Yarrowia lipolytica: one gene and its partners. The protein of the gene in region 2 interacts with the protein of the main gene of each other region in a pairwise test. Links are inferred from orthologs where the notes say so. Each region holds a gene or a part of one and is shown on either strand. Other genes may lie near its edges. The genes, in order: YALI1_E00437g, YALI1_F01291g and YALI1_F04497g.

The links.
Region 1: the proteins of YALI1_F01291g (region 2) and YALI1_E00437g interact in binary tests that used the Schizosaccharomyces pombe proteins (3 or more experiments, as listed by UniProt). The link is inferred for Yarrowia lipolytica from reciprocal best matches to the Schizosaccharomyces pombe genes paa1 and par1.
Region 3: the proteins of YALI1_F01291g (region 2) and YALI1_F04497g interact in binary tests that used the Schizosaccharomyces pombe proteins (3 or more experiments, as listed by UniProt). The link is inferred for Yarrowia lipolytica from reciprocal best matches to the Schizosaccharomyces pombe genes paa1 and pab1.

What each region holds. Positions count from the first base shown.
Region 1 is NC_090774.1:36,630-47,953, forward strand, and holds YALI1_E00437g (uncharacterized protein), read right to left. Parts: upstream 7,123-11,324; coding exon 4,741-7,122; downstream 1-4,740. Other genes in the region: YALI1_E00389g (uncharacterized protein), read right to left, coding at 1,200-2,318; YALI1_E00412g (uncharacterized protein), read right to left, coding at 3,064-4,620; YALI1_E00510g (uncharacterized protein), read right to left, coding at 9,653-11,324. UniProt on the Schizosaccharomyces pombe protein: The B regulatory subunit might modulate substrate selectivity and catalytic activity, and might also direct the localization of the catalytic enzyme to a particular subcellular compartment. Has a role in cell shape control and septum formation.
Region 2 is NC_090775.1:123,976-134,693, forward strand, and holds YALI1_F01291g (uncharacterized protein), read left to right. Parts: upstream 1-5,172; coding exon 5,173-7,041; downstream 7,042-10,718. Other genes in the region: YALI1_F01248g (uncharacterized protein), read left to right, coding at 839-2,068; YALI1_F01275g (uncharacterized protein), read right to left, coding at 3,179-3,562; YALI1_F01324g (uncharacterized protein), read right to left, coding at 8,280-8,481, 8,529-8,620; YALI1_F01346g (uncharacterized protein), read right to left, coding at 9,348-10,679. UniProt on the Schizosaccharomyces pombe protein: Phosphatase 2A affects a variety of biological processes in the cell such as transcription, cell cycle progression and cellular morphogenesis, and provides an initial identification of critical substrates for this phosphatase.
Region 3 is NC_090775.1:444,171-454,307, forward strand, and holds YALI1_F04497g (uncharacterized protein), read right to left. Parts: upstream 5,555-10,137; coding exon 4,130-5,554; downstream 1-4,129. Other genes in the region: YALI1_F04455g (uncharacterized protein), read left to right, coding at 1,397-1,758, 2,265-2,337; YALI1_F04559t (uncharacterized protein), read right to left, coding at 7,833-10,137. UniProt on the Schizosaccharomyces pombe protein: Phosphatase 2A affects a variety of biological processes in the cell such as transcription, cell cycle progression and cellular morphogenesis, and provides an initial identification of critical substrates for this phosphatase.

The DNA of each region.
Region 1 (11,324 bases), on a different chromosome or scaffold from region 2:
ATACATGAACGATTATAGACAATACACACATGCATTTGAACATACAGCAGACCAGGGGGCTCCCAAAACAGGAAGGTAAAAGAAATCATTTCACAGGAGGTGCTTTCTGCTTGTAGGATAGATACACATACAGCTTATGAGACAATTCTCTTCTGTGATGAAGGTTTGTAAGCCCAATTTGTTACTATAGGTACAGTATGTACTGTACGCATGTAGCGCGTGAGCGCTACCACTGTGATACACACACACAAAATTCCAAGTACAGTATATACAGTAGTTAGTCTCGAGTATAAGTACACTGTACTGTAGTTAGTCTAATTATCTTTTTTTTCTTCAATTATCATCGTTCTTCGTCTTCTTGTCGTCAATATAGGTACAGTCGCTGCAAGAGAGAGTCTTCTCGCCGCCGCTGCTACAGGGTGACCAAGTAACTGAGCTACGAAGGTAACTGAACTCGTGGTTCGCTTTGCTCATATCCCGTTTTTCATTTTCAATTTCTGCTTACTCTTTCTCAAGCAACGAGCAATAATCCGCTGCCGACAGCGACCTCCGACCGCCACTACTAGCCCTCACTTACAATCCACGCTGACTTCCTTTTTACACAGCTAATACATGTCAGGTGCATATGATATGGATAGACGTTCAGATAAACTTATGCGCGGTTTGGCAGCTTTTTGGCGCTTTTTTTTTGGTTGCGATTTTTTTCTCACACGCAATTGATTGATTTATATACTCACTAGCCACAATTCTGAGTAGCAAACTGCAAGTCAACAGGGGGTACAAATTGAACTGGGTTCGCAGGTGTAACGGAGGACGCACATGTTGGCCGATTGAAATTTCAGAAACCTTGTGTAGGAAAACTGGTACAGTAGTCAGCGGGTTTGCTTCTCCGGTTTCTTGGTCTGGTTAGTCAGGCTTAACACGCAGAACATCTGAAGTTCGCTCCTGCAAGAAATCACTCTTTTTTGCATCTCTACTGGTCTTGCCACAGTGCTGCGTGTATTCTCCCCTTCTTCGTGAACCCAATCACCAACGGTTTTCGGAGGTTGTCAACAGCGTACAGTATCAATGTTATTTTCCAAATGCGGACAAGAGCGCACTTTAAGTACACGGTCGAATATCGTCATGATCGGATGTGCTAAAGAATTTATACTGTAGAATCTATAATATGTTTGTTGGGGGGGGGGAGGATAATGTGGTTAGTTTCTGAGGCTAGGCAAAATGTGGTTGCCAGATCGACCCACAGCGTTCACGTCAGGAGCAGGAATGCCCTTGTTCTTGTTCTGGAAGTAACCACTCTCAGGCACATTGTTGAATTTCCAGGTAGTGTCAACGTCATCGTTCTTGATGTCAAGCTTATCAGCCACAAACTTGAAGATATTGGCGTCAACATCCTTTCGTCCAAGATGGGGAAGCTTCCAGTTGGCCTGAACCGTAGCAAGGTTGGTGTAGTGGTCGTAGAAGGTGTCGTCGGTGGTTCCCTTGAGGTGGTCAGGAATAGAACCACCCAGAAGAACGGCATAGACTCGGTTCTTTGTCAGGTAGTTATGATTCTCGTCAAAGGTCAGAATGATGAGGTTGTTGTCGTAGAAGGTGGGGTTCTTGAGCAATGGTCGGATGAAGCTGGATGACCACTTTCCAGCCACCTCAATATCGGAGTCGTGGCCATCGTTGGTCATGTTGGGAGTGATGAAGGCCCACTGGGGCAGGTCAGCGTTCTTGAGATCTTTGTAGAACTCGGTGAAGTTCTTGAGGTTGCCCAGGCGCTCCTTCTTGTTGGCGACAGAGTCGTAGTTGATGAGAGGGTTGTGCTTTCTCACGTAGTCGTTGGCTCCATCAGCGTTCTTGAACTCATAGCCGTCGTAGCCGGTGTATTGGCTGGTGTTCCTGTACTCGCCCCAAGAGATGTGCTTGGTGTCGAGCAGATCTGCGACAGTGGCCACCTCCTCAGGCACCCGCTTGAACGAGTCGGTCATGTCTCCAAAGTAGTCTCCGGACACAGCGGCAATGTAGTTGGGCTGCGAGGGGTGAGTCAGAGACCAGTAGTTGGTGAGCAGGATACCCTCGTCTGTTAAGGCCTTTAGGTCGGCCTGTCCGAACGCCTTGTCGTAGTTGGTGTTTTCCAGCCAGATCTGGTAGTATTTGTCAAACACCTGACCCTTAACGGTTTCGTAGCCCTCGTCCTTCCAATGGTTGGATTTAGCGGTTGCTGCCGCAGAAGCAATAGCGTCTGGCGAGGGTTGGATCTTGGAGAATGTGGGGGGAGCAGCGGAAACAGCTGTAGCCAGCAGCACAACAAGAGCAATATCGATCTTCATTTTCGTGCGTAAGAGAGAGAGTGGTGGGTGCGGTATACAGATCCCGATTAAACTGCTATATAAGCGTCCTTTTGCCTCTCATGTACCTCCAACTCTGCGCACGAGGGCTCACTTGCCCACCTGTGTGGGTGCAGCTAAAACCAACTCTGATGCTGATAAGCAAGCCTCAACTGCATACACAAAGCGGCCAAGGCGACAAAACTCAGGGCGAATGGTCAATTGCTGAAGCGTGATTTGTTGGGAGGATAATAAGCACGTTTGAAGGAGCTCAGGACGGCACAAAAAAGAGACAAGAGAGACAAGGGCGACCGTAAAAGCCCGAAATTAACGGTCAGCCACTTCACGGCAAATGAAAAGAAGATCGTTTGGGCCGAGGCCCAGGCTTCTAATGTATGCACTCACGGCTCATACAGCAGTTAAAGTGCCTTGCACTTGCTACAGAGCACGGGACCATATGGTTATATTAAACAAAACCTATATTGTATTGTTTAATAAAAGGGAGAGATTATATGAGACCCATACAATAGATTATGTGTATTACGAGTAATGTATGTACTGTACAGTACTTGTAGCTAACGTGAAGGGCCGAGAATGCCGCATCCAACTGTGAGGATCTTTGTAACTGTCAATGTCAAACTACAATGAAAGTACAATACTGTACACGATGTACGTCATTCCGACACCACGTGGGAAGGATGCACCGGTGCCATGCAGAAACGCATGTATAACTACAATAGCCACTCGCTTACCACCCAGAAAAATTACTGTTGGCCAACGAGGTGATTCGCTTCCTCTTTTGAGAAATGGACGAGGTGGGATCGTCAGCAGCGTCTTCTGCAGGCTCGGACAGCTTCAGATACCGTCCAATCTTGCCACTCTCTCCGGTCTGCTTCTTTAGAAACGGCGAGTCATCCATGGGCGTCGTCTTCTTATTGGCCTCTTGTGCATTAATATGCCCACCCTCCAAGAAAGAAAACGGGTCGCTCGAAACACTAACACTCTCCAACGTGATATTTTTCACGGGTTTGTCGTCCACCGTCTCAGACAGCTCCAACGTAGTCAGAAACGAGTTGTCCACCACCCGTCCAAACACAGTATGCTTCCCGTCCAGATGAGGGGCTCGGCTGTAGGTGATGAAGAACTGGCTGGAGTTGGTTCCCTTGCCTCTATTCGCCATACTTAGCACTCCCCGACTATCGTGAGTATGAGGGTTGAAGGTCCCGCATTCATCTCTAAAGGTTTTGCCAAAAATGGACTCTCCACCCGAGCCAGTGCCGGTAGGATCTCCACCCTGGATCATGAAATGCTTAATGTTGCGGTGGAAAATGGTGCCATCGTAATACCCCTTCTGTGCAAGCTTGACAAAGTTGTAGACCGTCAAGGGTGCATTATAGGGATACAACTCCAGGTTTATTTGACCTCGTTTGCCCTGGCAATTTATCGTCAGCAGAGCATATACTGGGTCCTTGAGTTCAGCCATCTTGGGCTTAAGCTTGTCCACCAGATCCTCCTCTATCACAGTCACCTGAGTGGTTGGTACATAAGTTGTGGATGTCAACGAAGCTGCCACGTGATGGGTTGTGGTCTGGCCAGTTCGATCCGTAGGCTTGATATCTTGTGCTGACGAATCTGCCTCTCCTTTTTTCACTAATGTTCCATCCCCTTCCTCCATCTCAGCAAAATTGCGTAACCTCAACACATCGGTCTTGGTGAATGCTTCGTCGCTCACAGGATCCCTCCCACTCTTGCCTAGCTCCTTGATTGTGTCCTCCAAATATACCCGTTTGCTTGGCCGCACAACCACGGCATTGTGGTACTTGCTCATCTCCTTGAAGCTCACGGGATCAATAATCTTGCCCTCTCCATTCACTGTGACTGTCAGCTTCATGAGATCTGTTCGAGTCAATGTGGCTCCAGGCTCCACTGGATGCGGTACGCCCTTCTTGCCGGCCTTTTTACCCTGCTTGACAATGTAAGGCACAATGTTCTTGATGTCGTAAACGTAACCCAGCTTGTCACACATCATGTTCTTGTGCTCGATAGGTTGCTGGCCAATAGTGCAGTGCCAAAAGGGATTCTTCTGGACGCCAGATTGTGCCTCGCTCTTTTTTCCGCCGCCGACACTGTGATCTCCTAGTGCCCATTCGCTCTGTGTAATGTATAACTTGTCGGTATTCTTTCCCATGTTGATGGTGCTGATGGCAGAAGTTACATGCAGAAATATCGTGCATGGCCCAAACCTAAGGCAAAGTTGTACAAGTACACTGTACTCCTTGGGTGGCATGCGAGTGTGCAAGTACATACTTCTACTCGTACTGTAGTTATACAGTAGTTTACTGTTGTCCGCTCAAGACCTGTGGTCTTCCTTTCCGTAATATTTGTCTTCAATAATTAATCCTATGTCCATGCTATTACCTACAAGCTAGTATCCAAACGGAAAGTCACTGCTACCGCGAGGGGTGTGGAAACCAGTATGCTCCTCATCGTTATGAGCAACGACAGGAGTCTCATGGTTAGTCACAACCCCCAGAGGCTGGATATTGTGGGGCTGTTGTTGTTGCTCAACACCCTGCTGCTGCTGCTGCTGCTGCTCATGCTGTCCAAGTCCCTGGTGCTGTTGGTGCTGCTCGTGGTGGTCATGTTCCATGCCCTCCTCGGGACCCTGGTTATTAGCAAGCTTGTTGCTATCCTCCTCCCCCTCCTCGGGAATTCCGCTCATCTGCAGATCCCGGTCCTCGGTCTTGAGCATGGAAAACTCCTCCTGGGCCTGGTTGAGCAGCTTGGCAAATTGTGGCGAATCAACGTTCTCCTGACTATTGGCCGCACGTTCCACCACCATATCCCACCACTTCGCCACCAGCGCCTCGTGCTCCTCCTTGAGGTCTTGTCGCTCTTGGTACACCATGGTGCACTGGTCAAACAACTGCGGATTGGCTTCCATGATCATTTTCATAGTATTGTACACCATAGAGTGGATGGTGCGGTTCCAGTGGCCGCGGGAGTTTTCGTACAGCGCAGGGAATATGACCGGCAAGATCTCGGTGATGTTCTCCGACATGAGCGTGCAAAAGTACTCGTTGTTCCAATAGTACAGTGCCCGTTCGGCCACCTGGAAATGCTGCGACGAGATGCACTTAGCTAGCTGCGAGAAGAGGGGGATCTGGATCCGCTGGAACTCCGTCGGCTCCATCACCTCGAAGATGTCCTCAATCTCGTTCAGGAACATGACCTCCTTCGACGAGTTAACCTTGGGCCAGTACCGCAGCAAGCCCAGAATGACTTCCTCGGTAAGCGAGGGGTCCTTTTCCAGGAACTGTACGACACAGTAGGCCAGCTGTGGGTGGTACAGGCTCAGAGTCTTGGCCTTATGCAGAGGGATGAGCACCCTGGACAAGAAGATCTTGTGCTCGTCCTTGAGCGGCAGAGCAAAGCCGTTGATGATGGAGCCCAAAATCTCCAGCAGCTCGGCCACGCCATTGAACCGCTCCGTTTCATAAATGAACTGGAAAAAGACATTGTTGATGGACCGCCGGATATACGCTCGCAGATTCAGGAACTTGCCATAGATTCGGTGCAGAGTAGTTTTGAGGCAGTCCCGCTCCCGAATGTCTTCGCTGTCAAACAGCTCCAGCAGGTTCTGCACAAACCGGTGGTCGATGAACTTCTTGGCAGACGTGTGGTTGAAGTCCGGTGATTCGATGAACTTGAGGAAAAACTCGTACACCAGTTGCATGTGGGGCCATGCGACCTCGCAAACAGGCTCGTCCTCGTCAGGATCAAAAACCTCTCCTACCGGGTTCACCAGTGGAGGCGTGGGCCGGAAGATGTTCTTGCCAAACATGCCCACCACCTGGGCGTACATTTCGTCCGTGATTGTGATGCGCGTGTTAGCGACAAAGTCCAGCAGCTCGTGCAGAGCCATCCGCTTAATGTCCTTGCCCTGAATGTCAGACGACGGGTCGCCAAAGTCGAAAATGGTATTGCACTGCTTGACCTTCTGCAAAAACAGCTCCGCGCGCTTTCGGAAAGGCACCTCGTTGAAACCGGGGAGACGCTCCAGCTCCCGCTCCTTGGAAATTTCCAGACGGCTGGAGTTGTGTCGACGGGGGGTTTTGACCTCAGGGCCGTCCGCGTTGAGCAGCTCAAACGAGTGGCGCTTGGGAGGCTCCAGATCGGTGGGCATGGTCTCCAGCTGGCCCGGAGACGACGGGTGGTGATGTGGGGTGCCCGAGTGCGTGCTCATGTGGCCGGTCACGTGGCCCATGGTCACGTGACTCGACGCCTGGGCCGAGCCCAGTTGCGTAGGTCCCTCAACGAGAATGGCTGGCGGTGTGTTTGTGTCCATCTGCTGTCCCTGCTGCTGCTGGTTCTGCTGCAGGCCCTGGAGCGCTGCCTGTGACTGGGCAGGCTGTTGGGGGGTCAACATGGAGGACACGTTGCCGGTCGAAGGGTTGGAGTTGGATGATGTGGCAGGGTTGGTGGTGTTAGCATTGCTGCTATTGGTGGTGTTAGTTGCACCACTGGTGATGTTATTGTTGCTGTTGTTGTTGCTGCTGGAGTTGTTGTTACCAGAGGACCCGCTGACAGAGGTTATGCTGCTGGCACTCGAAGACGAAGAGACCGGCGTAGCGGCGGCCTGGACATTGGAGGGCGTAGCGGCAGCAGGGGTGGGCTCAGGGGTTTTCTTGCGGTCGCCTAGCGAGAAAGTGCGCTTGGGTCCGTCCTCCTTCTTTTTGTTTTTGGTCGACGACTCGCTGTGAGACTTGGACCGCGACAGCATTCGCTGCTTGAATCCTCGCATCATCTTGGTTGTCTCTGATTTCGTCGTCTACGTCGCGTCGTGTGTTTGAGGGGGGGTTGTGGCAGCGTTCGTAGCGTGTGTAGTGTGAGGTGTGTTGTGTGCGTGTGTGCAGTGTAGAGTAGCTTGCTCACAATGGGGAGTGGTGTCGTGAGACTTTTTTAGACGTTGCGAGTCTACCGGTCCAATGATACGTTTCCGCCTTTTGTGTCGTTTTCAAATCTGGTCTCGGCGTACGTATCAGACAATGATGGATGTTGTATGTCAGTTGAGACGTCGACGTGGATGTAGCAGCTAGCTAAGTTCACTGATGATGTGTGATGACCATACAGATAGACGAACTGTGTGTGTGTGTGTGTGTGTGTGAGTGTGTATGTTTTGGAGAGAGTTAAAATGGAGGCGAAACACTATGGACGGAGAATGCACCTACAGTGGTCTACTACAGGCTCTGAGATTTGAAACGGCGCTTTTTGAACCCCGGAAATTTCTCGTATCATATCCGACACATCATCATGATTTATTATTATTGCACTGGTTTGCTTGGGCTAGGGCCCCAAACGTGGCAGCCAAAGTTTATCCTCGTCGTACATTACTCTACAAGTAAAAGTGATGGGCATTTGTAATTACAATGATAGTAAAGCGCCGGTACGAGAACTAGGTAGCCCTGAAGTGTAGATGGGAAGAGACGTAAGAGTTTTCACCATGGTAGGTTGATAAGCCAAGCTGTTTTGGCCAATCTGTTCAACCAATCACAGCTGTCTAATACCGCACCCGCGCTTACACAGCTGACTAACATGCTGTGTTCACTCCGACCCTTCCCGACTCAAACCCTTCACTACACTCTCCTCCCTTCCTAATTGAGGGACAATTAACACCCCATACACCGCCACGGTCCGGGCAACCCTAGCTACGGTAAATGCCTTCCTACCAACCGGGGCACACGACACTGGTCTAAACCGAAAACTCCACCGACTCGGCAACAGGGGACTAAAAATAGACGAGTGTGGTCTGGCTCCACCACTCTGGGCACGTGATGTGCCCCTGTTTCTCATGCATTCCAAAGAAAGAGACGTGTTGTTTTCCGCAACCCACAAGGAACTTTAATGTGCGGAGACGACGAGAAAACAATGGTTCCAAGTACCGTGGAGCTAGCTATTGTACAAGTATTGATGTATACTGAATATGAAAGCAGGGCTGCATCATATTTAATGAATCACCTTTACCTGGCCACCATCTACCTCTTAACCATCCCCCCCCCCCCCCTCCACCACACCAATCACCCTCTCCACACCGCACAGCCTCATTTGACGGAGTGAAACCTCAACCGATATTAAGCATCTTCGGAGCTTATCCGATTAGGGAGTGTACAACGACAATTATGATATTACACGCGTCCATGTGGGGTGATAATAACGAACCGTGGATGGGGGAGGGCTGGTCACGTGATTGGCTAGTCACGTGACCACTATACGCCCTCTGTTGGGTCGTCTCTGTATCCTATGCCGCAGTACTTGTAATTGCGCTCTTATTAGAGCAGTTTCTTTGGGGTAATTATTCATTCCATGCATTTCATCTCATTACTTAGATTTGATCGGAAGAGATTCCCAATTAGACACGGTTCCTCAAATCTTGTACAAGTGCAAGTGCGGTATCAGGGTTACGGGATGAGTAGAACGGTGTATCAAATAAATATGTCGAATGTACGTACATACACAATTGGGTCGTTATCACAGCATGAATTATCGCCATTGCGCCCAGTCTCGTGGTTGAACCCTCTCATCCGATCCTACAGTAGTACCGTGGTTGTAGCGACTGTCTCTTGTCACACTTGCCTCTTATTGAATGCACTGTGGTGATAGCTGTCATGGACTCAATCATTTTTATACATATAGCCATTGATATAGCCATTGGTGTACAGTACAAGTACAAGTACTAGTACGAGTACATTGTACCATATTGTATTCGTGTTGTATCAGTTGCTTACGTACATTCGGTACATGCTGTTTTTCCAACACTTGCTAAACAGCTGTGGAACTACATCTTTTTTTTTTTTTTTGCCAACGGCTACACAGTCGCATTCCTATGCTCCATGTCATCCCATAGACAGATACAAGTACTAGTACAGTAGCAGTAGTACATCCCTTGCGAATTCATCAACAGCCATCCCCACCCCACACTGTAAGTAGTAGTTCCATCCACGTTAGTGCTATTACCCCGCAATCTATACACCCATCTTTAGTTCCTTACAACTCCCCGCCCTAAACATACGATACACGATACACCACAGAAACTTCAACAATCAATTTCAAATCATATTACACTCAATTTTCATTTTTTCATATTGTGGGTATTCTGCGACAAGCACAACAAAATATCAACCCCCTGTAACAGCGGAGGCTTCATCAAAGTGTACCGTCTTTTAGTAGCGCGTGGAAGAGTCACGGTGGACATGTAGCTGTCGTCAGACACGCCGGACGAGTCCGAGTCGCTGTCGCTGTCAGACACCCACAAGACCGCGGGCTCAGAAAAACAGCGCTTATTGGCTTGCCACTTCTTGGTAGCCGTTGGTGGACTCTTCCGGTACCATTTGATCGGCACTGACACTATCGGCAGCCGCTTCCTCAGAGATATCACCATCAATCCTCCCATGCTGGTCCTCGTTGTTTTGCCCAGACGCCAAGGTCGTAAGCTCCACAAATCGACGGATCAGAGGCACCTGCAAGACTGCAGGGATGTACGAGTCCAGCCGCTTGAGCAGACGGGGCTCGCAGATCTCAAACGGACCAGAGTCCTCCAGAGGAGAAGTCTCCAGCAGAAGAACAGCGTTCTTCTCCAGCTTGACCTTTTCGGAGATTGTGTTCATAATCTCGGACGAGATGGGAGCCTCGTAGTCAGCAGACAGGTACTGGCCAATCAGACGATGGATCTGAGAGGGAGTGAGAATCCAGCAAATGTCGTAGATGATCTCAATATCCTCCAGAGTCGACTTCTTGAGCTGCAGCAGCTTCGCGGACTGCATAAGGTGCTCCAACTTGACCACGCCGTCGGCAATGTCATGCGACTTGCACCACTCCTCGATTCGGGTGATGTTGTAGTTGATCTGCAGACCTCGCTTCCACGACAGGAAGTTCTTTCGCATAAGCAGGTCGTTGAAGGCCTTGACGCCAATCATGGACAGCAACTCCATCAACGACTGTCGCACGCTGTGCTTCTCGTTGAAGTAGCAGGTCATGGCCTTGTACACCTTGTTAAACAAGTTGAGCAGATCATCCATGGAGTAGGACACGTTGGAGGTGAACATCTTGGCGAGGAAACGGCCGTTGGAGTCTGTGGTCATGAAACCAGGGAGAGCCTGTGACAGCACAATGGCGGGCACAATCATCTTGTCCAGTAGCTTCTTGAGCTCCTTCATCCATGTGTGATAAATGTTAAACTCCAAGTTCTCCAGATCGGCCTTGACCACGTGTACCAGACGTCCGTACTGCTGGAACTCGTACTCGCCCATCTCGTCCATAATGTCCACGTTCTGGGCAATGTTGGCCTGGGCAAGACACACGAAAGACATGATCTCGTGCACGTTGGACAGCCAGAATGCGCCGGGGTAGATCACGGCCTCGCCGCTGAGCTCCAGAATGTGCTTCTGGATGGCCTCCATGACTCGGGCCAGGAACCGCTCGGACTCCTTGATAAAGCCAAGCCGCCACATCTCCGAGGTGATCAGGTTAAGAATGTGGGCGGGGAAGAGCACCTCTCGAGGCAGAAACTGGTCATCCGACGTGTGGGGGATGGGGATGTTGAGTTTGTGGATCAGACCCTCGATCACTTCATCATACAGCTCGTCGCTCTGGGACTCGAGCAGCTGCTCAATCTGGCCATTGACTCCGAGAGAAGCCATCATCTGCTCAGCGTTGGCACCGGCAGCAGCTCCCATGGCAGCACCGGCAGCAGCGCCGGCGGCAGAAGGTCGGGGAGTGAAAGCAGCAGCACCGTCAACGATGCCAGCAGAGGTGAGAGATCGACGCTTGATGTTTCGTCGCTTGGCGTTCATTGCTGTGCCAGGAGTGCCTCGAACAGGAGACACTGAGGCCATATCAGAGGCAACCACGCCGTTCTGCTTGAGTTTCTCAATCTCGTGCTTGGCCTGCTCCAGCTGCTCGCTCAGAGATTTGTTGGTGTCAATGTGCACGTTGGTGGCCTCAATCTTGTCA
Region 2 (10,718 bases):
TACAGCAAACGCAAGGTGTCTCTTTGAGGATGCATGAGCGATTTCTACAGACTGATATGTATGAGATGGTCTAGTTCAATCTGTTATATGAGTCGATTCCAATTGAGCTCCTACGAATCGGCTAGATATGAAGGAGTTTAGTTCTTGTTCGTAGCTACTGTACCCAGAGGGATCAGTCTGGAAGAAAGAGAAATTAGCCAATAGATGGATGAAAGAACCCTGATTAAATGTGTTATAAACAAAAAAGACATTTGGTGCAATTAGGCCAATCCAAATCACTGTCTACAAAGATCAGAGAGAGTCCATTTCTCTACAAGTTCCGGTATTACACTCTCACGGACACCAGCGACATTCCGAGCTGGAATGTTAGATATGCTTAACAGATGCAGATCTTGACGAGATCACGGAGAGATCTAGAATGTTCATTTCTTGTCAGTTTTCGAATCTAAAACTTCTGACAGACTTCTTCTCGCAGTTTTGGGTCTCCTGTTAAAACCCGATACTTTTTCGATCCAAAATGAGCCCTCTACACTGTACTTTTCATCACTCCAAACATACGCGTAACCGTGACGTGCATCATGCATGATAGCCGAAGGAGTTGGTACAAAACAAGTCAGCGGGAGACAAACAACACTTTGAGATACAAGGGTCGGGTAAAAAATCAAAAGAAAAACCAGCTTCGTCGTCCATACTCATAATCTGTCATTCTGAATATTTTCCCTCCGTAGTTTTGTGAATTACTTATCATCCGATAACTGTATGTACTGTGCCACTCAAGCGGTAACTTACAGTAATCTCATATCGTTGACACATTGACATCACAACCATACCAGTAAACATGATACCCCAATTCTTACTCTTGCTGTGGCTGACACTGGTCAAAGGCGAAGTATTATATTTGGATAACGAGACGCGTCTCGCATGTGCAAATGTAAACGCTGGAGAAGACAGTGTGGGCCCTGCCAAGGACACGTACATCCAGTTCTCATTCGACGAGCTGGAGACGCCTGGAGTGATGGCCTTGGCGATTTTCGAGTGGAGAGATTATGACCGGATTGGAGGCGTGTGTGACGATGCTGCCATCGACAACAATAAATGTGAAGAGCATGAATATGCCACCTTCAAGGTCAAGCCCGAGGAGACTGACAACCTGTACTCCAGAGTCTTCTCCTTTCCTCTGAATCTCCAGAGCATCCAAAAGTTCCGGTACACGGTGTTTAAATCCGGCCAGTACTGTGCCATGGTGCACCCTGTGATCCCCAACGATGACTTTGCCGCCAAAATGTCCATCAAAAGCGCATATGGGTTTCTGGGAGGTGGCGAGGTGGGTCTGCTGTTACTGAGCCGTATTTCAATCATCTATCATTTTGTGACCTTTTCCATCTGGTTCTACGCGTATAAAAAGAACTCGAAACACGCGGTACCTGTCCAGAAGTACCTCACCAAGGCCATGGGTCTACTGGTGCTCAAGTCCGTGTTGGTGTTTGTCAATCTGTCTATGACGAACAAATACGAAACTGCGCCTGAATTAGTCGCCACGGTGGCATCCATAGTCAAGCCTGTGGCCGACTCGCTCTTTCTGTCTCTTCTGATTGTCATGTCTCTAGGTTATGGAACCATTGTCCAGTCCAAGTCTCTCAAATTCTACTTTCTGTCGTGGGTGGTGAAGGGAGGTTGGTTTTGTGTGGCCTATTTCCTGCTCAAGCCTCTCAATCTCCCCATTGACATGTCTGATTTCTCTCCCGAGGCTCTCAAGATCACCTTCTACATCCCCATCATGCTGGGTCTTGTTGTCACCACCCGGTATCTGAAGAAAACTAACCAGTCGGCACTGGCCAGACGAAGTGCCATGCTCACCATGGCTCTACTGGCTCTGGGAATCGTCTATGCAGGTGTCTACCTGACCTTTAAAGCACACGTGCAACAAAACTGGACTTTGTTTGAGTACCAATGGTTCCTTCCAGCCTGTGGAGAGCTAGCTGCGGAGATGATATACCACCTTTGTTTCTGCGTCTTCTGGTTCCCGAGACCGTTACAAGCAGCAAAAGAGATTGATAAGGAGATGTAACGAAATAGTAATTGATTGCTTTAATCAAATGTGGACCTGGGGAACTGTAACCTCTGATCTAGGACCGAGACTATCAGTACAACCAACTACAGTTGTACCCCTACAAGTGTAGATACAATCTCTAGACCAGGGGAACTCGTTAAATTGGCCTATTTTATGGATTAATCCAGACACTAGACTGGGTTGAACAAGGGTCTTTGGCCTGCGTTGAAAGCAGTTCGATCTAGACTTGTACCTAACTCTAGCTACTGTAGTGGACTTTTCCAAAAAGAGCTTAGCCCAGGGGATCCAATATGCCCACTCGTGAGACACTGTTAGCGTCTTATAACCTCAAGTCTAGACTTATTCAAAACTACAAGTAGTTCGCGGCGGTCTGTCTGGGTCTACCCTCTTACCACGACTGTCCGAGGACTAGTAGCTCTATCAACATAGGGGCCCGGTCATTGACTAATGGCACTGTCGGATTATTATATCTCGGGGTTGCTCCTGGAACGTATTGCCTATCATCACGTCACTCGCCAGACTCCTCCTAGATAGCTCGTTCAGAAGGTTTTTCCTAAAGCCCAAGTTAGTTAGATTTTAGTGGAAGGAATTGGTCAAGTGAAATACACCTGGGGATTGAAACAGGGGTTGGTCATAAAATATGGATTGATATCGACATTATGTAGAGTGAAATGGTCCTGGCATTGTAGTAGAAATGCTCACTTCATATAGATTATCATCGAGTACACATCTCTCTTCTCTAAGAATTTTCCCATAATTACTTAGCTTTAGTTGGGATAGGAATTTCAATACACGGCGTGACCCGTTTATCAGTCCGAATGGGTCTAATCTAGTTCCAGAACGACCAAGAACCGTACACTACAGTACGGCACGAGAACATGAACGAGAACCGTTCACTGACTATCCCAGATCAGTACGTGGCTTCTCTACGAGCTCCTACCATAGAATGACCAGTGCCAATTGCCAATTCAGCGCTGGACAGTGTCATTAGTGGTTTCTATAAATATTGGTAATAAATAGTTAGCTGAGGTTGTCGTTGGCAATCCCTGCCCGGTTATTCTTCTATCATTGGTGATCTTCTTCTATCACCTGTCGCCTGTCCTTTCGTTAGTCCAGTCTCATGAGCAACACCAACATGACAATATAACTGGCCAAACTGAAGGCTGCGAACCAAATGACGGCGTTGCCACTGGTGATGAAGATCCGATTGCCAAGCGTCTCCTCATACATCATGTGGTCCGTGATCCGTTTGCGACGCAGCGCAACCACCAAAATGAGAATCCCACAGGCCGTGAAGGTGGTGCCCACAGGCATGAACTTGACGCTGAACACCTTGAGCACCAGCAGCGCGAACCCCAACTGACCCATGGCCGACCGATAGTACGCGCCCTCGAACGTGCGCTGCATCGCCCGCACGTCTAGCTTTTCATCCTTGTTGAGCTCCGGAAAAGGGGTGGGATCAATCGCGTAGAACCGCCTGAGTGTGGGCATGCTGTTGAGTGAGAAGATTCAGAGCTGATGGCGACGTCGTGGTAATCACGTGACTGTATCAGTGACGTTGTTGAATATCAAGTCGTGGGGAAATCTGTTCTTCTCTGAACAACAGATCTCTAGTATTTGTTGTCCTTGCTAAACGAGGTATAAGTGCCGATACAGTACATAGTGTACGAGTATAAGTGAGTAGCATGGATACAGCAACTGATGTGACCCTACTGAGAGACCGGAGTGGTGTGAGAAAAGCCGGTGATTCCAGTGAAATGATGAAGACTAGATGGTACGTAATCCCCGTGTCTTTTTTCCGGCAGATTTTGGCAATTTTTATACATGTTTCACATTCGAGTCTGGCCTATTTTTTCTCTCTGAAATTTTGGTTTTCATTTTTTTTTTCTTCATATTTTTAAAAAATTCATGTTTTCTGGCTTGCCTAATTTGCTTCTCTGAACCTCCCCCCACTCGCATCTCGGGTGCAATTCCCACAACACCACACTGACGGTAGGGTAATGGGCGGGTTGACTGTCGACCATGAGCAGGTGGGTTTTTACGAGTACAGGTACTTGCACGGATCTACATGTACATTTCTGGGGGTTCTCGTGATGTTGAGAGTTCTGAATAGATCAAAATCTTCCGGCTCAGCTTTTATTCCAACTTATCTATACATCATCGATTTAGAGTGTTTAGGACTGAATAGTACATACACTGTACATATATGAACAGAACATGTCTCTCAGAATCATATTTGGAGAGAAAAAATAATCAATAAAAGTCAGCAGCCGATATACCAATAGCAATCTGAAACCACCATAAAAGTTCTAATACCTCAAATGTACCTTCTATCGCCCCAAAAGTGGTTCTACTCATCTCCCCAGGCCAGTCCTAACCTGTGAGGTTATAGTGATCTGTGGAATGGCGGCATGCACGATAATAATGGGTGGTAATTTGACAATGTGACAATGTGACAATGTGACAATTTGTTAGTGGAAAAAACTTTCGTGCACCTATAGATTAAGAGCCAATTGAGTAATTCGTGCCTATAGATTAAGAGCCAATTGAATAATTCGTGCCCCAAATATTCCTCATAATTGACGGGCCCAGTCCTTTTTTCACTTGCTACTGCAACTCCAACTGCTCACTCGCGGGTCGAGGTTGGGAGAAAGTGCATCAAACTATACGGCGAGAGAAACATGTACGTGTTTACTAGAAGACAATTGTCTGATGAGGCCAAAGTAGTACAGCTAGAGACGTGAAAAAAACACATCATTAGACAATTGTGGACCGTCTGACCAATCTCGATAATTTTCAGACCCCCACATGGCCCCAATTTTCCACAAACCCGACCCCCGAACCAGGGCCAGGGTTGCGACAAACCCTCGACATGCACGTTAAACTGAGCTTGGGTGTGACCATCAATCACCACACTCTCTTCACAACAACAACCACACAACATAGCCATCAACGTGAGTATGAGAGGGCGAAAGAACCGCAGGAGAAGGAACAGTGACACAAAAGGACGGCAATTAGTTTTGATGGGATAGCAGATCTGCTCCACTCACTCATGAGACTTGCCGCCCGCGCTCTGCCCCTGGTCCCACCCACTAACCCAGATGGAACAAGAAAACATTGACATTCCTGACGAGCTGTACCCCCTGGCTCTGCTCATGGACGAGCTCAAACACGACGAGTTTTCGCTGCGAATCTCTGCTATGAAAAAACTGCAGCTCATCGCCGCAGCCCTACGCCAAGAGCGATGCCGTGACGAACTCATCCCCTTTCTGGAGGATGTCACACAGGAGGACGAGGACGAGGTCCTGACCGTGCTGGCTGAGGAGCTCGCCAACCTGGTTCCCTACATCGGAGGCCCCGAGTACTCGCACCTGCTGATCCCCTCTCTAGAGACCCTGTCTTGCATGGAGGAGCCTGTTGTTCGGGACAAGGCCGTGGAGTCCATCAACCGAATCTGTGAGGGATTGCCGTCACGTGATCACGTGGCCCAGACCATCCTGCCTCTGGTGAAACGGCTTTCTTCTGCAGAGTGGTTTTCCTCCAAGGTCTCTGCCACCGGTCTCTATGCTGCTGCCATTCGACACTGTCCTACCGAGGCTGTTCCCGAGCTTCTCAAGCAGTATGGAGAGCTCACACGAGATGACACCCCCATGGTCCGTCGAGCTGCCGCCACCCACTTGCCTGCAGTGATTGAGGCTTTGCCCGCGGAAGCTGATTCTCCTGAGGCCGACGACGAAATCTACTCCATGTTCAAGGCACAGGTGGGCGACGACCAGGACAGCGTGCGACTGCTGTCGGTCAACGTGCTGATTGCCAAGGCCGAGAAGCTCAAGCGACAGGGCAACTCGCAGCACACGTCTTCGCTGATCGAGTTTGCTCTCGCACTGCTCCATGACCCCTCGTGGCGGGTGCGATACATGTGCGCCGACCGGTTCGAGAAGCTAGCCGAGTCGCTCACCTCAGTGGTGCCTGAGGAGGGCGTGGAGAAGACGGAGGTGGACGAGATGGAGCGAGCTTTTGTGCCCGAGTTCATCAAGTTCATGCAGGACGGCGAGGCTGAGGTCCGGACAGCGGTGGCCAAGCAGGTGCCTGGCTTCTGCCGGCTCGTTACCCCCGCCAACCTCGACAAGATTGTTGCCAACGTCGAGGAACTATCTCAGGACTCGTCCCAGCACGTGCGGGCTGCTCTGGGCTCCGAGATCTCGGCCCTGGCACCGCTGCTCGGCAAGGAGAAGACAATTGAGACTCTGCTGCCTACATTTCTGCAGATGCTCAAGGATGACTTCCCCGATGTGCGGCTCAACATTATTTCCAAGCTTCATCTGGTCAACAAGGTGATTGGTATTGATCTACTGAGCCAGAGTCTGCTTCCTGCAGTCTCGGATCTCGCGCAGGACAAGCAGTGGCGAGTGCGCCTGGCCATCATCGAGTACATCCCTCTGCTGGCCACACAGCTGGGCGTCTCCTTCTTCGACAAGGAGCTGGGTCCCCTGTGCATGACCTGGCTGTGGGACAGCGTCTACTCGATTCGAGAGGCCGCCACACAGAACCTCAAGAAGCTGACCAAGGTGTTTGGTGTGGACTGGGCCAAGGACGAGATTCTGCCCCACATTATCGTCGTTGCTGCGGATTCCAACTACCTGTACCGACTCACGGCCCTCTGTGCCGTGACCACACTCATCCCCGTGGTGGACGAGTCGATGATCAAGACATCCATTCTGCCGTTCATTGCCGAGCTCATCAACGACCCCATCCCCAACATCCGTTTCAATGTGGCCAAGACGTACACAGAGTTGGTGCGGGCTCTGCACGAGGAGAAGATCAGCTCGCCTGAGGTGATTGAGGAGATTTGCACATCGACCGTGATCCCCCACCTGGAGCGGCTTTCCACCGACGGCGATGTGGACGTGCGCTACTTTTCCACCAAGGCTCTGGAGGACATTGCCGAAATCAAGAAGGCTCACGCATAGGGTAGGAGACGGGCTGTGGACATGAATTAGATGAATAGTTAATGAGTATAAACGGACGCGCGGTAGTGAGAGGCCGCTTGCAAGAGCCCTGTAGCCTTTACTTTGAGAAGAGAAAGTAAACGGTTTTAATACGGCTCTGGTTGAAGTGGGTGATGCGAGTATGTAGGAGGCTACTTATAGATAGTTCTTCAGGAATGTAAGTTACCCGTGTATACCGAACAACAGGGCTAGACGCTAGACGCTACTCTTTGTACCAACTCGTACCTGTACAGAACCTGTTCAGGACGGGTGCCTATTGTTAACATGCCCAAGGGTACGATTACTCTAGTGCACTTGAATCGTACAGTACTCTCTTGAGAGAGTCAATTAACCGACATTGTAGACTCCTCGCTTCTCGTACCCATCGTACAGTACATGAACTCGTGCCGAACGCACATCAAGAGAGGTGCAGCACTAAGTTGTCCCCTCATCTTGTCGAGTTCCCACACCGTTGCGCACGCACCCAGCTCGTATTGCAGTCTACAGTAAGGATCAATTATCTGTGTTTGGAGCGTCTCGGCTACATGTTTCTGTTTCAGCCGTTTTGTTTTGAAACAGAGACAGTGGTGAGGTGACCCGGGTCACGGTTTCCGAAGAGTCATGGGGCGTTGCGAGTATCGTACAAGTACTTGTAGATCTACTGGCAGAACTACATACCATATGATGATCATCTACCAATCGGCTACAGATTTTCATATTCAGGTTCACGTGATTTTTGGGACCGATGACATTAGAGAGTCATATTTCGGATGAAAAAGTGAAAATTCAAAAAATCAAAAATCAAAAATCTATATACGCCACCGTTGGTCTCCACGGCTTTGCTACTCACGCTTCTATCATCTCCACTCGGAAAAACGCATGCAACGGGTTGTGCAGATGGCCGGATTTGTGTGTGTATGAGAGGAGACAGAGTCTACACTATTAATAGAGCACTTGGTGCATGCATACTCGTACAAGTGCCCAGACCTGTTGTCAAGGTACAGTCATACTTGTATCCGGTCATCTGTGATGGCTGATGACATATGTCCCGCCGCCTACAAGTATGTACTGTACAGCACTGGCTTTGCCTGTCACATCGGTTTGCTTTTGCTTCTTCCGCCGAGGTGCCAGAGCCCATCCCAGATACATGAGGCATGTCAGATGGAGATGGCCAGAGACAGCTGTTATACATGGTGGCAACCGTGTCTTGCCCACCCGTCTCAGTGACGTAATAATTGTGCACCAACCGAACTCTGTTCCCTTTCTGTCATGAGAAGATGTCCCATGCACAAGGTGAAGGGTGCAGTTGAAACATCCGGACAAATGTCAGAGTCTGGCAGCAGGCGTGGTGTTCCTGGATTACACGGTACAAGTACTTGCACGGAGCTTGTACTATACTTGTGAACGATTCCATAACTGATACTATTCTTCAGACTGACACTTGTTGACAGTCACTGTAATTACATTACAGCAATATGGGATATACTCGACATAATATTGACATGCAGAGGGACAAAAAATTAATTGTACAAAATAAATAGCAGACCAGCGTGTATAACATAGTAGAGTGTGTGTATCAGATGTGACAGTATCAGCACTAGTATGTAATGTCACATATAACGGTCTGAAAGACGTTTCGTGATTACAGTACCGGTACAGTACATAATAGGGTGGTCTTAATCAGTTATTATAATTAGTTAGAATAAATTAGAATAAATAAGCAAATGATCTAGAGACCCTCGAGGCCCCTAAGTAAGTCATGACGACCCCTAAATAAGTCCCGAGAGTCCCGAAAGGAGCCCAAGATGGCCACGGCTAGCCCTCACTCTATTACAACCCCGGATAGAAATCAAGATGTATTGAAATGAAATCTGCAAGTAAGATGCAATAGAATAAATATATGGTGGGTTGAGTGTCCATCGAAGTCATCCAGTGACAAAAAGTAGAAGTACGGGTTCAGTAGCCTGCGCGTGAGAGCCCAGGCCCCAAACAAACGCACTGTGTTGCATAGAGGGAAAGTGATTAGTGTCCTTGAAGCTGGTGAGAAATATCTTGTGGATCACAAGCTCCAGATATGAGCCTTGAGATGGAGGCCTCATTTCAGATGATCCTCCTCTGAGCCCTATAGTCTGCATCAATGCTCAGACTCGAGTGCTTTTGGTCCAGGACTCAGTAGACCGGGTGTCGCGATGGTGAAGTCCCCTGTAGAGCCCTAATTCAAGGCAGGACTTCTGGCTCGCATAAAACTGAGCGTGTAGCCGGCCTAGACTGACAAAAGCCTCTGGCACCTAATCTTCGTCGCTCTCCAACGCATCCTTTTCGCCCAGCAAATGCTTGTGCCAGTCCATCAACTGAAAAATCAACGTCATGTTCGGTCCGATTTCCGGCGACCGGTACTTGACCCAGTCATAGGCTGCATTCAGATCAAGCTGCTGCTTCTTCATAATGTAAGCGATCAGCAGCGACGCACTTCTTGAGACTCCACACTGACAGTGAACCAGCACACGCTTGCCAGCAGCACTTCTGTCATCAATCAGCTGCGTGAGATACGGCAGGTCAGGCAGGAACTTGGAGTTGTGTCCCCAGGGCACGTAGACGTACTCGGGGTTGGTCTGTCCATCATTAGCATACTGCTCCTCGGAGAACGGGTTGTCAATCTCCTTGGCCACGTTGATGACCACGTCGAACGTACGGGCGAGCTCCACAGAAGGCTCCGAGTACAGGTAAACGTTGCTGGGGTAGATGAGCAAGGGTCCATCTGGGTATGCGTTCTCATGGTGCACGGAGGGAGTCATGAGCTCCTCTGCGAACAGGTGATGTTTGCTGGGTGGAAGCGCATCGTCGTAGTTTGGTGGCGGTGTAGTGTGTGTAGTGTTATCGGAGTTGGGGTCCGATTCCGAGTCCGACAGCGACAGCTGAGAGGCCGCGGAGTTGGCGGAATGGTGCGACTGGGACGTCGGGGTGCCCAAGGGGGCAGGCAGAGTGTTTGAGCCGGAGCACGTGGCCAGCGGGATACTGATACTCAGTTGCGATGTTCGTCTCTGCATCGTAAACGGTGGTGGTTCCATACTGAAGGGAGGCACACTAGACACAGTGGCAGAAGCGGCTGGTTGTACCTGCGGACTGGGGGACTGTCTCTTTGGGGAGGTTCTGGAGTGGTAGTTTTTGTGTTCGCTGCGGTAGTCACTGTCGTAGGCTGCGTCCTCGGGCTCGGCGTCGACGTGGGATCGTTTGACGGAACCCTTGCGAGACAGTCCCAGCGAGAAGGAGGCTGCCAGAGGAGAAGCAGCAGCAACCGAGGGGGCGGACGCTCGCACGGGCGTCGAGCTGACAGGCAGCACAAACGGCAGCGGCGCCGCTATCGAAGGCTCTATAGATGTGTGAGGCGGCGAGACATTGTTATTGCTGTGGCTGTTGTGGCTCTGGTTGCTACCTTGAGGTACCATCAACGACAGGTTTTTGGTGTTGGAGTTTTTGCCCTTGGGCGGTCGGAACGGCAGGTGGCGCGGCGGCGCCGGCAACGAGTCCATGGCGTCGGGATCGTGTATCTGTTGTGCTTGTGGGTGGTGGTGGTTGGAGGGCACGTGCGAACCCGCCATGTCGGCCACCGAGCAGTTCATGGGTATCTGGGAGAGGTGAGGAGAGTTGGGGTTGGTTCT
Region 3 (10,137 bases), about 320 kb from region 2:
GAAGGGGTGGGAAGAAGTGGAGATGAGGGGGTTGCGGTAGCCATTTTTGGTTGCTGAAAAACGGAAAATATTGTCAGCACCAAATCATCCATTTCGGCCGCCTCCGTTTCTCAATTGCTACTCGGGAGCTCCCACAATTGACATTCCCATTCGTCGTCACGGCCTTAAATCGGAGGTAACAAGCTTTGACTTTGACCCAGTCACTTTAGGTTGTTGTGCCAGGTGTCCATCTGGAGTAGCTGTATCAACAGAACAGAATGGATTGTTAGAGGCCGTAGAATGGTCAGATTGGGGCGCCGAAGAGCTCAATTGAATTGTACAGGTCCGTAGCTTCATTTTTATGCTTTTAAAATCAATTTCCCCGGTTGCCTCGCCAACATAGCCACTCCCAAACATCAACTTGCCTCCAAATTGTTCATATAATCTGCTCGGTCCGGCTGCACTAACCGGCTGGAATCGGGACCACCAAATCTAATTGACGTGGAGAAGAGGAAAGGAGAGAAGAAAGATGGCCAAATGTGTGCTGACTAAGACAAGTGGGGCCAGATTAGTGGGGGGGAGGGGGCTAGGGCACCCGAGACATTCAATTTGTGGAGCTGTGACCGTCTTATGGACCATTCTACACGTTTTTGTACAACTATGCCCTTCTCAACATTCCTCTTTTTCCACACACACCCACGCAAAGTTACCCTGCAGTCTCCCTGGTGTGGTCGATGTTCATTGGTCAAAGAACAGACAAGTGGATTAGGTAAGGCGTGAGTTTTGAGGAGTATTTTTTTTCAACCATGGTTGTAGTCACGTGACAAAAAAAACTCAACACATACACATACACATACACCTACCCACACGTATCTACACACTTCTTCTCATCTACCTCTCGCTTATTCCAAGTTGCCATTACCCCTCGTCTTCATTCAGTATTCTCAGTTGAATCGGGGTTAGGGTGCGCTTATTTCGGCACGGTCCATCTCCTCCCCTGTCCCTGTGTGATTGTGATTGGGACGAATCAATTGAGTTGTGTGGGGTTAGGGTTGTATCCTAATTAAGTATATTAGGGCTAGGGCGGGCCAATCTTTCGACCACCCGCCTTTTGAATAGCATAGTCAATCGGGGCTTGAATTTGCTCATTTTGGACTGTAGACAGATTTCCTTCGATATTGAAACCCAGCAGCCGTGTCTAATTGACCGGTATTACGACAGGAAAAAGAAACGGTAGTGCTACACAATTGTTGCCCCATTGGAAGCTGACTCCCCTAACCCTAAACTTAACTGGCCAATCACAGCGGCCGTCATCAGCCCACACTTTTTTACAGTTGCGAGGAATATCGCCAGAGGGCTTCTGCGGAAAATAGGCTTGGTTCTTCTCCATAACAGCACTCCGCACTCCATCACCAAAATGTTTGCTCTTCGACGAGTCGCACGACCCACCACCGTTCTCCGAGCCCCCACTCTCCGAAACACCACCCGAAACATCAACCAGAAGGTGGAGGAGGTTCTCAAGGACGGTCCTTACAAGATCAACAAGGCCGGCGCTGAGGCTTACGAGGCCGAGTACGTGGCCACCGAGAAGCATGCCGAGCACACCTCCAAGCTGTGGCGAAAGATTTCCATTTACATTTGCACTCCCGTGATTCTGGCCACCTGCGTCAACACCTACTTTGTTGAGGCTGCCCATGCCGAGCACCGAGAGCATCTGTCTCATCTGTCTGAGGAGGACTTCCCTCCTGAGTACGAGTTCCAGAACGTTCGAACCAAGAAGTGAGTAGCGCAAAGAGCGAAGCTGTTTGCACCCCGATCACGGACAGCTAAGCTGACTGTGGTTGGGAAGACGACAGTGTTACGTTGACTGACAGCCTTAGCTGTTGTTTGTCTGTAACACACACAAGGACGTATTGAGAGAGCGTTCAGACGCCTGGGGATGACCAAAGTGATGCCTGACGGAAGGACGGGGCGAGATCCAGAGCAGGTTCACCTTTGGTGGAGGCGTGAGAGATGGACATTGGCACGTACGGCATGTGACGCGTGTATTGGAGCGATCTGATTGGTTGACATTTCGAGACTTGAAGACTTGGTCTGAGAGTCCCATGGGAGTCTTCCGTATATGACTGTACCGCGTTTCGTGACGTGTCGCGCTGCTGTTCGTCTCGTTTGGCCCGACCGCCGTGTCTGTCTCGAGTCAACCCATTGGTGGACCACTCTTGGACGACATCCTCGAATGTCCTCCAAATACGGACTATGCCCTCTTAATGATTATACTAACACAGCTTCTTCTGGGGCGATGGTGACAAGACTCTGTTCTGGAACCCTGCCGTCAACCGACACATCCGATCTGACTAAGTTCGCGATATAGCTAAAGCATTATTATAACGGTACAAGTAGAGCGTTCGGAGGAACTTCGAGGGCAAAGCCCGGGTGTCTCCCGACAAGATATAGTGAATGTGCAGTCGTCCTCGACTTTCTGACTACAGTTGTAGGACGAGCGAGCATCGACAATGACTGTAGGACGTAGGCGAAATGTAATACAAGCTGCAAGTACACGAGGAGGTCGGATATATCAATAATTAATGGGACGCCTCCGATCAAGCCCACAACCTCCAGAACCACATTTCATTTCATTGCAGTGTTCCAAGTACATTGGTCGACCCACTGATACACATCACTGGTTCAGATGACTGATCCAGATCGAATGTCTTAAACCTACGAGTCCTCGTACTACACGTGGTAGACCAGTGAAAGATGGAGATATTTGGATGAGTGGCAGTGATTAGACAATTCCTACATCTCATGGAAAGTTCATTTTTACTCTGCATATATACAAGTACATAGCTGTAGAGTGAGATGGATCTTCACAGTGGGCTTCTTGTACGTCTTGCTTGTGCACCAGATACTATACATGTACCAGTAGTTGTATTGTACTTGTACTGTACTGTGTACAATACAGTAGTTGGTATATATTCAGTACAGTGGTTGGTATCCATTATAGCTACAGGTGCCGGTTCTTGTACAAGTACGATATACAGTACAGTAACATGTGATAGAGGTTGAAAGAGCGGGCAAGACGAGACTAAAGCATTATTGCACGTGCTTGTCGGTGAGATTTAGACGGAGGTTTGGTGTCTGGGGCAGTTAGAAGGACGGGCTAATTTTATTGTAATGGAGTGATCGTAATGGAGTGTTCGTAATGGAGTGCTCATTACCTCTTGTCCAAGTCATCTTCTGTATCTTGCACTGTCTTGTACTGTATTATAGTCATCGCTTCAAGTACGGTACATACTGTACTTGTATTTACTGTACTCGTCAACTGAACTTGGTTGACAACCTCCAGAGAAGACTGGGTCTGTAGGTCGTCTCTTACCAATGCTCTTCCTTCATCAGTTTCGGTTTAAACGTGGAAATGACGTTAGATATGAGAAACTGGTCCGTATTTTTCCTAGTATCGGCTCTTGAATCACAATCCCATCAGCCAGCAGCATTGTTTGTCATGAAAAATCGATGCTACTCATCAACCCAGTTAGAGATGTTGCACTACATACTGTAATGATATTATTAAAAAAAAATTTAAAAGTTACTGTATATATATATCGTCTCTGGGTACTGAGGTATGAACAAGTCCAGCAACAAGTACTTGTATGACTTCCCGTTGCACAAGCTGCTCAGCAGACATGTGCCATGAGCATGACTCCTGTACGAAACACATTCAAGCGTAGCCAATTTGTCATTATGGCCACTTCGAGACGAATACTACAGTACATCATTATGCCTGTGTACCATTACAAGTACTCCAAATCTACTACATTTATCTACTACCTCCACCACCTCCATACCGTTGTCATAAGCATTCCAGATTTACTGACAACGCTAGATCACACGCTCTACAACACTGATACGTTGCTCTTCACTCCTGGCCTAAGGCCAGTAGCTTCCCGTCCTTTCTATAATCATTACTCATTATATATCCCTCCAACCTATACCAAAACACATACGAGCTGCGAGATTGTGTCCCCAGCCGTATCCCATATGCCCCTTTCAGTCGATCTAGTGCTCGATCCGTCTGTGTCCGCTCCTTCTCCCATAGTCGCTACTCACATGGTCGCGTCGCGCCACATGTTCTTCGTTGCTCCTAAGTTCGTTACAAAGTGCTAAACACAAACAGGTTATTTGTAGCCGCAATAGCAATCGAGTTCTCATGGGGATGCCAGCTGAGATGCAGGATGTTCTTCTTGAAATCAATCGTGTCAAAGTCCATGTCCCGCTTGACCATGTTCATTCCTGGAGACTGGCCTCGCTTTCGGCCATTGGGTGAGTTGGCGCCGTTGCCGCCCTTGAGAATACCGCCCATGGCGCTGGGAACGCCAAACTTCTTCTGCTTGAAGGCGGACTTGTCGGCCTGCAGAATGATCTCGGCATCTTCGGGTGTGGCAGGGTTGACGGCATCCGGATAGATCATAAAGTTGTTGTTGTACGATCCGGTGGACACTGACTTGCCGTCGCCGGAAAAGACAACCTCAAACTTGTCGAAGATGGCGTCGTTCTCGTAGGTGTCACACAGCTTGTCACGCAGCTGCTCATGGATGTTGATGGTCCGCACGGGCTCTCGCTCCATCTTCACATCCCAGATTTTGACTGTGAGGTAGTCTCGGGAGAGAATATATCGTCCATCGTTGGAGAAACGGACGTCCGAAATCGACGACGTGATTTCAGTGAAGAAGGAGTGCTGTGCCGGGTCCATCCACTCCTCGTATTGCTTGGCGTGGCCGTCACACAGAGCATTGTCTCGCATGTCGGCCAGCTTGATAGTACCCTTGGAAGACGAGTACATGAACAGGTTGCAACTCTGCGGGTGGAAGTCTGCTGCGGTGATCACCTCCGTCAGCTCCTCCATGTTGGCGGGCTTGATGTCCACAATGTTGAACGACTGGTCCGCAATGCCGAGGTTCCACAAGTTTATCCGCAGGTCGTCGGCCGAAATGTACGTTTCGCCGTCCGAGTTGACCGAAATCGAGTTGATGTGGTAGGTGTGGGCGTTGGCGTAGATGCGTCGGGGGGAGGCCGCCACAATCGTGTCATGGAGCGTCATTCGGGGCAGTCGAAGCGTGTCCATGGTGAGCTGGTTGGGCTTTGTGGAGGTGCCGGGGGCGGCTGCAGAAGCAGCGCCGGCGTTGTTCGAATCGCTGAGGTTATTCTCGGCAACCACCCGCAAAGACTTCTCGTACACCTTCCACAGCTTAATGGTCTTATCGTTGGTGGAAAGCAAGAAGTGGGCCTGGTTCTGGCGTTTGCACCACTTGATCTTGTTGATCTTCTCCTCAATCTCCAGCGACTTGAGATAGTCAAACTCGGCGTCGTGGCTCTGGAACTCGGTGTAGAACCGGTACTCGCATCCCTTCTTGTTTTCGTTCCGCTCAAACAACACTACTCGGCCTCCCTTGTCGCCGGTGGCCAGGTAGTTGCCGGTGTGGTCAAACTCCACGGTCGAAATCACGTCCGCGTCCGTGATGTTTTCAATGTCGCCCTTGTCGCCGAAGCATTGGGAAAATTTCCATTGTTCGTCCATTTTTGTGTCAGAGTGTGTTTGTGTCTGTCCGTTCGGGGTGTGTGTCTGGTGTCTCTGTGTGTCGATGTCGCTAGTCGATTTTCAGTCTTTTGCTTGGTGTTGTGCGTGTCGTTCTCGTACCGCTCGTTCCACTCGTACACTCGGGCCAAATAGCTCTATCGCAAACGTCGATGGACAACGGTGATGATGTGGTGATGATGGGGTCGGTCAAACAACAAGTAGAGTGGTGCAAACTGTGCTGTGAGAAATGTATGCAGGTCGGGTTGGGAGAGAGTAAGAGGTAGTAATGTAGAGAGAGGAGAAGATACGACACGATGAGGAGGTGATGGGAAGGAGTTAGAGATCTGGAAACAGCTGGAATGGATTTAAAATCACGACTTTACTACAAATATGTTTTCTTGCGCTCTGAACCAACGCCAGAACACCGATTTATGGACCCCCTCTCGCTCCATCCACACCCTAATCTCATCTCGCTCAAAAAAAACCACCTTCCGAATTACCCTCCTGCAATTCTAATTTTGAGGGTGACGCCATGACTGGAGCCTCAGGAGGACGAGGCGGCTCATTGAGGATGTTTCTGAAAACCCCAAAATAATCGCCCAGATTTACCGACCATTTTAATAAGCTCAAAATATTTTTCTCGTTTTTACCCGCTTTTTATCCCTGCCCCACACCTCTCGTCACCTTCCTCCACCCCTCCGTTCGGTACTGTTCCAAACAGCAAACGTCCAGCACGCCTCAATTGCACCGCCTGGAGGGCTGATAAATTCGATAAAAGGCCCATAATTTGGCATAATTCAGCCCGTCACGACCCATATTCTCCGATTCGTGTTTTTCTCCACGTGACGATCTACGCGAGCGTATTTAAAACACACCCGTTATTTCGAAACTAATCGAATATAATGGAGGTAATTCTGTGAGAATTCGCCGAAATTTGAATTTAATCGGATCAATTCAGAAAAAAATCCTCCTTACTCATAAACACTCAGACGCCACAAACATATCCTCAATCCCTAACAACCGGCCTCCCCCCGGCAACCCCAGAGACCTTGCTGCCTCTGCCCCAAGCGCAGCAACAACGTTTGGTGATCGTATTGGGAGACAGCAAGGGGGAAGGGGTCCACAGTAATGTGGGGTATGTGGAGGGTTGTGTTTACGGATATTACGTATATAACGTATGTACTGTACATACCAGACAGGGCCTTGTGTAAAGATAGGTTTGGTCACGTGACACATCATTCCATCACGTGATATCCTTTTACCCAATGTGAGGAGTTGCTCGTACTCGTAGTCGTACTCGTATGTACATACTCATACACCACTGTCACTCGCAACTATGACGTCATCGGACGACAAAACTACTCGCCCGCGGAGACCACATCACGTGACTGAAATGTCGCACTCAACTGCCCATTTCAACAAAGGTCCTAATTAGAGTGATAATTAGAGCCGTCTAAGGCGTATCTGTATTGATTGTTTCGTCATTAAGTTTCGATCTAGATCTGAAATGTAACATTGCTTGTGTTGGGTTTTTTCTGAGAATTTTTATGGGATTTGAGAGTGTATAAAAGATATTCTGAGCACGGGTTTTCTCCCTGTTTTTAAATATTTCCAATATTCCTACTTTTGACATAGTTAGGTGGGGTATTGTGTTAGTACGACCATTTGGTATACTGTTTACGCTTGGGAAGAGTTATAGATAGTGTAATTATCAGTATGGTAACTGAGATTGTTGTGGATTGGTGAATGTAGTATATACTATATATCCAAGTACAGTGGTTGTACTTGGTTTTCACAAAAACACCATAGCTATCTTTTCTGACTTTCAGCTAATCAATGTCTTTTCTTTGGAGCAAGTTTTTTTTTTTTTTTCTGCATATACATTCATTTAATTATAACTTTGCCGTGAAAGAATAACCTTTGAAATGAATGTACGCTTACACGAATATTACTAATTAAACACGTTTAGTGTCATGGTCCAACTTGGCACGTACCTATTTCCAGTAAAAAAATCATAAAAAAACCTGGTTCAGTCCGTGTTGTATGTTGGTCCACATAGCTTCGCGTGTTTGTTCGTTCATCGGGAAAACGCCACTCCAGTCTCCAGTTCTCTAATCTCAATCCTTCCATTGCCCTCTTCATTTGCATTGCCTTTGAAAACTTCTCCTTGTGGTTCTTCTTCGTCATTGGTTTGGTTCTGCGTCCCCTGTGGTGACTACGCGCCCTGCTACGCTGTTCTCTCGGTGGCCTCGGCCGCCTTTTACGCTTGCTACTGTGTCTACTCTCGCTCATCGTGAAGTGCTGGCGGTTGTCCATCGTAGAAACACATCTGGGCTTCCTTCAGGAATTGAAGCAAACCCTGTTGGACATGTCCCAGGGTGGCGTCGTCCCCTGAGTACCGGAGGGATCTCTCCATCTTCCAGATCCCATAAGCCAATTCCCGCAGATATTTGCGTGTCTTGACTTGTTGATGTTTCCGGGGGGCGTCACTGTTCACATGCCCTGGGAAAGAGGGGAGTACTCCACATTTCGACTCGGTAAAGATCCAGTCCTTTAGAGAGTCCACTGACGGAATCTTCATCCTGGTCAACATGGAAAGAAGAACTTCGCACTTGCAGAAGATATGCTCGTGCAGATCCTGAATGATGGCCTTATCACAGAGCCCGCATCCTGGATTCTTCTTGGTGAAAACGTGGTCGTCAGGGTATCTCCATTTCACGAGCGGAAGTCGAGATATCCGCATGAGGTGAAGAACTTGTGCTTTGTTGGCGTCGGCGATGTAGTGTTTTCGAAGGTCATGCATTACCTCCTGCCAGACCATGTCGTCAGAGATGCCCCCGTAGTCGCTTCGTTGAGTCCACTTCTTCGGTCGTGCAAGTGTGTGTGGGAAGTTTGGCAAGTCGGGAGACGAGGTCTTGTGAAACATGAAGTTCTCTAGAGTAAGTGGTCCCATGCTCCACCGGAGGTGGTCGATTTCCGCTGTGGACACCATTCTGACCGGATGGTATCGTCTCGCGGCTGCGATGTCGACGTGTGCTTCCCGGAAAGATTCTGCTGCTCTCACGTTCACCTGGTTTCGTTCCCAGATTCTGTGATTAACTGTGTCTGTTGTAGAGGGCTCGTGATCTTCTCGAGGGTTGGCATGTTCCGCGGTGAGGGGCTTGTTGAGCTCGAAAGAAGCTCTGATTGCGTCTCGCATGGTGGGGGAGGCTGCGTAGCCCCAAGCTTGGCCTGTCGGAAAGCGGCAGTCGACGCGCTGGTGTGGCTTTTCCTGTGTGAGACTGTGAGTTCTGCTGTAGAACTGGAAGGTGCAGTCCCAAAGGGCCGGCGATGAGCCATGGAAGAACCTGTAAGCCCGAGCGGCCTTCAGGCACACCATGAAACGTCCCATGTCCCGCAGGTTCAGTCCTCCTCTGCCTACCGGAGTTTGGATGAAACCATTGCTGAAGGTTTTGCGTGTTTTGTCGGGTGATAATTTGTTGATCTTGTCGCACGCTAGTTCGTTCAGCTCTCGGATGAAGGTGTTGTCGATCTGGCTGACGTAGGGTCCAAGGAAATTCAGTTTCGAGAAGAAGTAGATGTTGATCATCCACGCCTTGCTGTAATAGGGGAGACCCCATAGTGAAAGGCGTCGCAGCGACTCCTTGAGGTCCTCCTTGATCTGAGCGTAGTGCGTGTCCAACCTTTCGCGATTTCCGAAGTGTACTCCGAGGTACCGGAAAATGTTGTCAGATGTCCGGAGCGTCGGGGCCTGTCGTGTGTTGTTGTCGGTTGGCCAGGTGGCGTCAATTGTTCGCTGCCATTCTGCGTCAATAAAGGTTAGTGGAACAAAACAATCGGGGGGGCCGATCTTCTGAAGCACCGTCTTTGACGGGTTTAGTGTGAGGCCTGAGACCCGTTGGAAGAGGCAGAGCACTCTACCAACCGTGGCCACGTCCTGGATGTTGTTGAGGAACACCGCTATGTCGTCCGCGAAAGCCGACACCTTCATGTGTCCAGCTGCCACTGCCTCCGGGTGAGTAGGGGGTTGTGGCGGCCTGTGCCCAGTGGTGTGGTGGTGGGATAGTGGCAGGCCTGGGGCCAGTCCAAACATCTCTCGGTCCAGACGACGCACAAGTGCGTCTACTGCGATGATGAAGAGGGTTGGAGAGAGAGGGCATCCTTGTCTCACTCCGATCTTGATGCGGACTGGGCGAGATAGGACACCTCTGATGTTGATTCTCGTTACTGCGTTCTGTTGTACAGCTAGGATACGGTTGATCATCAGTTCCGAGACACCCACATTTCGAAGCGTCTTTATCACCCAACTCTGGCTGATAGTGTCGTAGGCTTTCCGGAAGTCCAGTGATCCTACGACCCAACCCATGTTCAGCTGGGAGTAGGCGTTGCAAAAATGATCCATGGTGTCGAGATTGTTAGTGATGTGTCGACCCGGTACGAAACCGTTTTGGGCGCCGTGAATGCTGTCCGGAAGAATGTTCTGGATGGCTTTGTTAATGAGCTGTGTGTAGATCTTCACCTCTGTGTTGATCAAAGAAATAGGCCTGTAGTTGGAGATGTCGGCCTGATCTCCCGACTTGTAC